Linked DNA regions of Caenorhabditis elegans. The protein of the gene in region 2 interacts with the protein of the main gene of each other region in a pairwise test. Each region holds a gene or a part of one and is shown on either strand. Other genes may lie near its edges. The genes, in order: Y17G9B.5 and F01G4.6.

Evidence for each region.
Region 1: the proteins of F01G4.6 (region 2) and Y17G9B.5 interact in a two-hybrid assay, tested with the Caenorhabditis elegans proteins (one large-scale study listed by BioGRID).

The regions. Positions count from the first base shown.
Region 1 is NC_003282.8:4,748,478-4,752,128, forward strand, and holds Y17G9B.5 (Evolutionarily conserved signaling intermediate in Toll pathway, mitochondrial), read left to right. Parts: upstream 1-1,762; 5' UTR 1,763-1,768; coding exon 1,769-1,922; intron 1,923-1,966; coding exon 1,967-2,194; intron 2,195-2,242; coding exon 2,243-2,741; intron 2,742-2,791; coding exon 2,792-2,963; 3' UTR 2,964-3,014; downstream 3,015-3,651. Other genes in the region: rpl-18A (Large ribosomal subunit protein eL20), read right to left, coding at 702-1,037, 1,086-1,292; Y17G9B.4 (Peptidyl-prolyl cis-trans isomerase), read left to right, coding at 3,642-3,651.
Region 2 is NC_003282.8:11,146,884-11,151,225, forward strand, and holds F01G4.6 (Phosphate carrier protein, mitochondrial), read right to left. Parts: upstream 2,319-4,342; 5' UTR 2,077-2,318; coding exon 1,842-2,076; intron 1,799-1,841; coding exon 1,677-1,798; intron 1,634-1,676; coding exon 905-1,633; intron 857-904; coding exon 779-856; downstream 1-778. Other genes in the region: pigq-1 (PMT_2 domain-containing protein), read right to left, coding at 1-63, 108-246, 295-359; pfd-1 (putative prefoldin subunit 1), read left to right, coding at 3,232-3,339, 3,642-3,787, 3,840-3,939; C08F8.2 (ATP-dependent RNA helicase SUV3 homolog, mitochondrial), read left to right, coding at 4,114-4,338. UniProt on the Caenorhabditis elegans protein: Transport of phosphate groups from the cytosol to the mitochondrial matrix.

The DNA.
Region 1 (3,651 bases), 6.4 Mb from region 2:
TACTAAAAGAGTCTAGCAGGAAGAAACCGCCACAGCAGCACTTGGGGAACCGCCCGTGATGCAATAGCGAGAAAGAAACGGGGGTTGTGCCATCTCTCGGGCGGCGAGGAGACGCAGAGACACAGAAAGGCCATAGAACAATCGGGCGGTCGCTCTCGGGAGTCTGGGTGAAATATCATTCAGCGAGGACATACTAAAATGACGCTGTTGAACTTTTTATCTATGATCTGAAAGGTTTTGCCCTTAAAATACAAAAAATAAAGTTTCTACGAGATTTACCGCATTTCTAACGCTTACAACTTACAAAATCTACAGTTATCCAGATTTTTATCAACTTATCTCAATTATTAAGAATTAATTTACCTTATCGAAATAGTGATATTGAACTTTAAGGAATGTAGTTACAGATCTAGTAGCGTAAGAACTGAATATAGAAGAGCAGATATCTATATTGCAAAAGAACAAATTTGAAAATATTGACAAAATTTACCAGTCACACAAGTCAGCTGGGCGGTCCGATGCCTTATGGATCATTGCAATGATCATCTAATAACATCAACAAGTGCTGCGCACGAGATAAAAACAGTAAACAAATAACAAGCTGAACAAACAGGATTCAAACCACACAAATTTAAAATGAAAAATTAAGAAAAAAATTTGTTTGCAACAATTTATTGTAACAAATAACAATAATCCGCAACTTAGGCGAAGTGGGTGTTTTGGCGAGCGGTTGTGAAGACGCTGAGGTTCTTTCTCTTGGTGACGCGATGTGGGAGTGGGAATCTGATCTTGGCGTCGTGGAACATCTTGATTCCGGCACGCTTGGTGTCTTCGGCCTTGACGGTTTGGACCTTGAGGATGTGGATGCGGTCAGCTTGGGCACGATGACGAGCTCCCATGTCACGGTAGCACTGGGTGACGGCTCCGGCAACGGTGGTGTCACGGTACTCACGGTACATGTTGTGGTGTCCGGTACGGGAATCGTACTTGAGCCAGACTCCGTAGTTCTTGACGGTTCCTGGGTTCTTCTCGAACACCTGAAAATTTTATTGTAAAATGGGTTATTATTATTATTTTCCACAAACCTGCTTGATCGAAAGGATCTCTCCGTTGGCCTTCTTCACACGACGGAGCATAGAGACGAAGTACCAGAAACGAGACTTGGCGATGACGTGGTTGGTGGCGAAGATTTGCATCTTCCAGATTGGAGTCACTGGCTCCTTCTCTGTTGGGATTTTGCGTCCGACGACGACGTACTCATTAAGAGTCTCTCCAAGAGCCTTGGTTGGCATGTTTTAACCCTGAAAAACAAAAATATGATGCAAGGAATGGGGAATGAACAATCTGATATAATAGCGAAAAACAATTTTAGGATAACGTTACAATTTTCTTTTAAAATGGAAAGGTAGATGGGAATTACCGAAAAAATATGAGTGCATATTGCAATATTTAAAAACTATGAAAAAACTGTTAAATTTTTGTAAAAATCAGAAAAAGAAAAGCGGAAAAAAGCTAAAAAATAGGATCAGGAAAACCCAAAATGAATTTCAACGCACAAAAGTGTATGCGGCAGTGCTAGTTTTGTTGCGTGTTCTATTACCGTATCCTTCATACACTCGCCGTCGATTTACGGGGAGCGGTGGAGCGCACTTACTCCTTAGATTTTTAAGCAATTTTTTTGTTAAAAAGATATAGAAATGTGATTTTAAATGTTTTATTTTAACTATAAAGTTATAATATTAATTTATTTGTACATATTCAGACTTTAATGGCTCTTGCACATGTTTCACGACGGGTTATCAGCAATCAAATACGATGCTTTGCTGCAGCGAATCAAGAGACGAGTTTAGTACATGTTGAAAAGCAATTCGAAGCTATAGAACCGGAGAAAAGAGATAAAGATGCATTCATGGCAGCGATAGGTTTGGATATCTGTCTAGTTTCAACGATTAATCTATGTTTTCAGCCACGTTCAAGGAAAAACGAGGTCGAACGCATGTCGAATTTATCAACACAGCTCTAAAATATGTCAAAGAATATGGGGTTCATAAGGATATCGATACTTATAAAGGACTCCTTGAAGTTTTTCCAAAAGGAAAGATGATCCCACAAACTGTTTTCCAAAAAGTTTTCCTGCATTACCCTCAACAACAAAATTGTGCAGTGAAGGTTCTAGATGAAATGGAGTGGCATGGTAAGTACAAAGTCGTTTACTATTCATAAATTATCAAAAATAGTTGAGGTGTTCAACCGGATAAGGAGATCCATGATATCGTGGTCAACGCATTCGGAGAGTGGAATTTTGCAACGAAAAAGGTGAAGCGTATGCTCTATTGGATGCCAAAGCTGAAACATTCGAATAAATATCTGGACAGGCGCCACGTGGAAGGGAAGTCTCTATCACCCTCCGAGTTAGCCGGAATCGCGCTGAAAATGATGAGCCGAGACGCTGCGTCCTCTATTTCGCTTCTAAAACTGTCAGATTCATCAGATCCACAACAAAAATGGCTAGCCACGTCACAGAGCCCAATGCAACAGATATTAATTTCTGAATTGCGAAAAGGTGATGAAGTCTTCGTGGATGCTGCAAAAGTCTATCTACAAGACAGAGTTATTCCATTTATCACATTAACTGGAAATACGAAGCTGGAACCTTTAAACGAGTTCAAAAACGAAGATATGGACGAAGATTATACAAATTGGTACGCGGACTGGCAGAAGCAAAGAGGAGAAGCTAAAAGGTAGGTTTACAGTTCAAATTTTAGATTTGATATAAAATTTTAATTTTCAGATCGATCCACGAACAAGACCACGAAACGATTTTCGCAATGGGTGCTATGTATAAAGATGATAATGCAACAGCGATTCGATGGATTGATAATCTACAAAAAACCAACCCAAATATGGAGAACCTGAGGTTCCGAGTTCGATTGGAAGGAAACCCGATAATTTCAAGAAAATAAAATGTATTGTGTTGACTAGAATTTGAGAAACAATAAATAATTAACAGTTTGTGCCGATTCTCTTAACAGCTGACCTTGTTCTGCGTGTTTTTTTTTTGCGCTCGCTAGTCCCAAATGTTGTGATAAGACAACATTCACTTTTTTGGATTATTATGGATTATTGAGGATTGGCAGTACAGAACTAACTGCAACTCTGGGAGCGCCGAGGTCTGTCTAAAATGCCAAAATAAAAAATATATCCGGCGATAGATTTGTCTGTAATCCGAGATTCGAAATTGTTTTGTTTTGTGGTTCTATCAGAAGAACATGTTGCATGAAATTGTGATATCTTAAACTACAAGAAACAGGAAAATGTTAAACGCGGTTTTATAAAATAACAATACTGAAGCACTCATGAATAAAACCAATTTTTATCTAATTTTACGCATGAATACAGCGATTTTGTATTTTACTACGTTTTTTTTTACTACGAATTGCTATTGCATTTTTTTACTACGAATTGCTATTGCATTGAGAATATGAAAATAAGATAAAATAAATAGTGATTTATTTTGGGACGGTCTCTTTAAAGGCGCAACCGAAAAAAGTTCGCGCAGGTCTCGTCACGAATACAGTCGTTTCTTTGGATTTTATCGAATTGATTCGTTTTTTGAGTTTGGACAACTTTCTACCCTCAACATGAACGACG
Region 2 (4,342 bases):
AGTTTCATTTACGGGAGTATTAAGTTTAAGTCCAGCTGGATTACTTCTCAGCCATGTTATTGTCTGAAAATTCTTATTGAAGAGCATAAAGTTCAAAATATTATTACTCCGTTCAAATTATCAGCAACATTTCCAGTTTGATCCCAAAATTCATTGACTGTCCATTCCCAATTTGGTGTCCAAATATTCCATAAGTAAATTGAAAAAGCAACATCAAGAAGCAACAGACGTGTGAAGGAAAATGTTCTAGAAACTAAGTTTCCGTATAAAATATTAATATCTCAGGAAACAAACCGGACGAGAAGAATTTTTGCTTCTAATGTCCTGATTAAAACCACGTTTTTAGTAATTTTATCCATAAATTCTGAAAATCACGTTATTATCAATTTTTTTTATTGGAATTCAACGGTAAAACGAGCGAGGGTGGACTGTATTAATTGAACTACCCAATTGAGGTCTTTTCTTGAGAACACACACAAATTAACACCAACGTATACAATATTCTTCGATCGGTTTTGTTCGGAGGAGATTTATAAAAACACTGCCAGAGAACTCATCTTTCAAAAAAGAAGACATCGGGATTGAAGGACAACTTGAAACAAATGAAGGAAATGATAATCACACTAAAACCGAGCATGGTGCACTAATTAGTTATAAAAAATTAAGAGTGAGAGTAGGACCGAGAGAAAAGAGACAAATTGGGTGGATTTCAAATTAATACAATGGCTAGAACAATCGATTAAGGAAGGAAATCAAAATCATTATCTAGTCAGTGCAATTATTGTTGAGCGGCAAGCTTGGCCTTGAGGGAAGCTGGCATCTCTGGTGGTGGTGGGCGTGGAAGGTTGAGGGCGACCTGAATTTTTTTTATTAATTAAGAAAAATAATACCGATATAAACTCACTTTAACAGAATCATAGATGAACCATTGAAGAGCTGTGAGGGTTCCGATCATGATAATACGTGGCACAAGTCCCTTCCAGACTCCGGCGAAACCAAGTTTCTTGAGGATTCCTCCGGCGGTGGCTTGAGAGTCTTGGTTAAGCTTGGAAACAACAGTGTCGGCTGGGTGAGATACGATGGCGCAGAAAACTCCGGCGATATATCCAGCAACAAACGTGACGACAAGTTGTTCAGCCTTGGAGCACTCTGCTCTTGGCTTTGGAACAACGTATTGGTAAAGGGCCTCAACGGTCTTCTCGAAGCAAGCGAACTTCATCATGGTGTATGGAATCTGTCTCATCCAGAGTGGTGGAAGTCCCTTGTAAAATCCGGTGAGTCCTTCGGCCTTGTAGATCATTGGTGCACATCCACGAAGAGTTGGTGGAGCTCCTGGTGAGGTTTGGATACGGACCTTGGTGGCTTCCATTGGGGCGAGAAGGATATCAGCGAAGAACTCAGCTGAGGCGGAAGCAGCGAGGTAAAGAGAGGTTCTGTAGAGATATGCGTTCTCTTCTCCGAGCATGTCAGCGTAGACGTTCTTGAAGATCTCGTAGAATCCGAATTTTCCAAGTCCTTGTGCGGAGTATCCAAGGAGGGTTGGGGCCCATCCCTTTACAAGAGCACGAGCTCCTTCCTCGGCGATGGTGGTCCGGAAACCAGTAGCAATACCGGTGTACTTCTCTGGATTCACCTAAAAGAAAACAATTAAGTTGAATAGATTTTTCTCGTAATACCTGAATTCTGCACTTGACAAGATCAAGTGGTACGATGGCAGTGTGGGTGATTCCACAAGAAAGAACTCCTCCGAGAGCACAGTAAGCGTAGTACTTGCCACTTCCGAATTCAACTTGTCCAGCTGTAACAAAAAAACATTAAATTGTATAGTTCGAGCGATAAACCTTCATATGAAGAAGCTACAGTGGTGACAACACCAACCGCGACCCGTGCAACATATTGAGTGGACCCGTACGCCAGCCAGTCCATTAACCCGTCAACTAGTTGGGTAACACCCCAAAAATAAATTATAATCCACATGCATAATATCACTATAATGCCAGCCCTTCCAGTTTGGAGATGAGGAGATTTGGCTCGAGCTATGAATGGCATAGCCTTCTCTTCCGTTTCGGACGTCATTGATAAGCGATTATAACAATGCTTATAATCCCGCCTAGGCATGTGGTAGCATAGAAATAACGTGGAAGATAGTAAATGATCCACGTGAAATTTACGTGTGAACGACGTCGAACGGCAGACAGATATTCGATTCTATGTCTTTTTAAAACGCGGTTGCCACGTTTTGCAAAACGAGGGAATAGTCTGTCTCGATTCTCTTTTCGCGAGATACTATCTCCGCCGTGCCTCTCGCAGCCCTCGTCAATTTACGTGTGCACATGCGCTGCACGGGAAGTGGGAACAGAGAATGCAGGTAAAGAAAAATTCGGATTGTCATTACCCCTCCTAATAAAAAACTAAATTCTAGAAAGTAATCTAAGTAGGACGTGAATTTACTATTTTACTGACAATATTATGCTAGCTAATATATTAAGTTTTTTTTTTAAATTCAATTAATACTTACGAGCTGAAACAGCACTGGCGCAGTTACCCGACCTGACCGGCAAGCTGAATGGGTTCTGCTTCGATGATTCGGCAAGCTGGCTGAACACGCTCATGGTGGTTACCTGGAAATTACCGAAATTATTGCCAAACATTTATATTCACACGAAAAATTAGTATGCGGGAAGTATAAAAATGTAAAAGAGACACTAACAAAAATATCACAGATGATTTTGCAATATAATGCTTCAAAAATCTACAATAAAACTCAAAATTCAAGAAATTCGTAGAATAACTGATAATTTATCACTGGCGGGCCTGCAAACCGCCTCAAAAGATATCATGGACGTTCTCTGAGCCATGGTCGGCCCCTACCGTAGTCGTCTCCCGTCACTTTGCTATATGACCTGCACATCTAACTCGATTCTGGCAATGCGCCAGCAAACATTTCTACTCGATTTTTCCATTTTTATTTTAAAATATGACTACAACATCTAAAATTCTGTTTTCTAGCATTATTATTTTATCATTTAAAAGGTGTATCTCATTTTTTAACATATATAAATCATAAAATAATTAAAATTTGTGGATAAATAATCCATCTCTCAAAAGTTTATTCCAAATCAACTTTTCAAAGATAATCAATTTGTTTTCTTTGCTTTTCTCGTGATTTCTTTTAACGCAACTCTTTTTTGTCTCAATTATTAAATCAACTTTCATATTACAACTTCAGAAATGGCCGACGAGGAGATCTCAAAAGCGTTTCGCGACTTGCAATTCAAAACCAATGAAACACGAATGCGGATAGTTCAAGGAGAACAAAATAAGAAAGTTAACTATCAGGTGAGTATTTTTGAATATTAAATATTGAAATTTGATATACTTTAAATATTATGAGAAATGTATGACATCATAACTTGATAACATAGAAACTAGCGAGTTTCACCTCTTAGCTTGTGCCTAAGTCACAAATAGTCACAGCTAGTCACAACTACAATCTAGCTTTGCCAAAAAAGTTTTTGCTGTACATCGGTATTTTTTCATTACACACATCCATTAAAAAACACTCAGCATTTTTAATATTTAAAAACATAAAAGTATAACTTTTTCTCTTAAGTAACGCTTCTAATAACTAAATTTTTCAGAAAATGAGGATCTCAGAGAGCACAAAAAAGAACTTGGTGGATTTGGATGAAAACCTCAAGTACTATCGATCTGTTGGGCGTATGTTCCTGCTGACCGACAAACCAGCTGAAATTTCCAGACATGAAGCTGAAGCTAAACAGTCAAAGTAATTTCATTCTTCCATTCAAAACAGTTTACACAACCAATCCCATTTTCAGAGAGAAAATTGAAGCTATCGAGAAGCAGAAAGACTATTTGGAGAAAGGATTGGTGGAGGCTGAAACGAATCTTCGCGAGCTGATTCAAAGTAGACGCTGAACCCTCGGGAATAATTTCTATTTTGTGTGTAAAATTGCTTTATTGTTTACGTTTGCATCATTTTTTCGAATGAATCTCTTCTGGCGTACGTATAAACGTTTTCAAAACAATTTCTGGATTTCCGTTATTTCTATTTCTATTTCAGCGTGTGCATACTTCTATCAAATATTACAGATGAGAAGGGCGTCTGGTGTTTTACGAGTTCTGGGAGGCCTAACTCAAAGATGTTCAACCAGCTCAACCCCATCCTCCTCCAGATTTCCAGCAATGAATTCTAGAAGAAAAAGGAATTCTGTGAGAAAAACTGCGACTATTGAGGATATTGTCGAACCTCGAAAAGTTAAACATGTAACACAAACAGCTGCGGGAATGGGAGAATGGATTGGATCACTAGATAATGTAA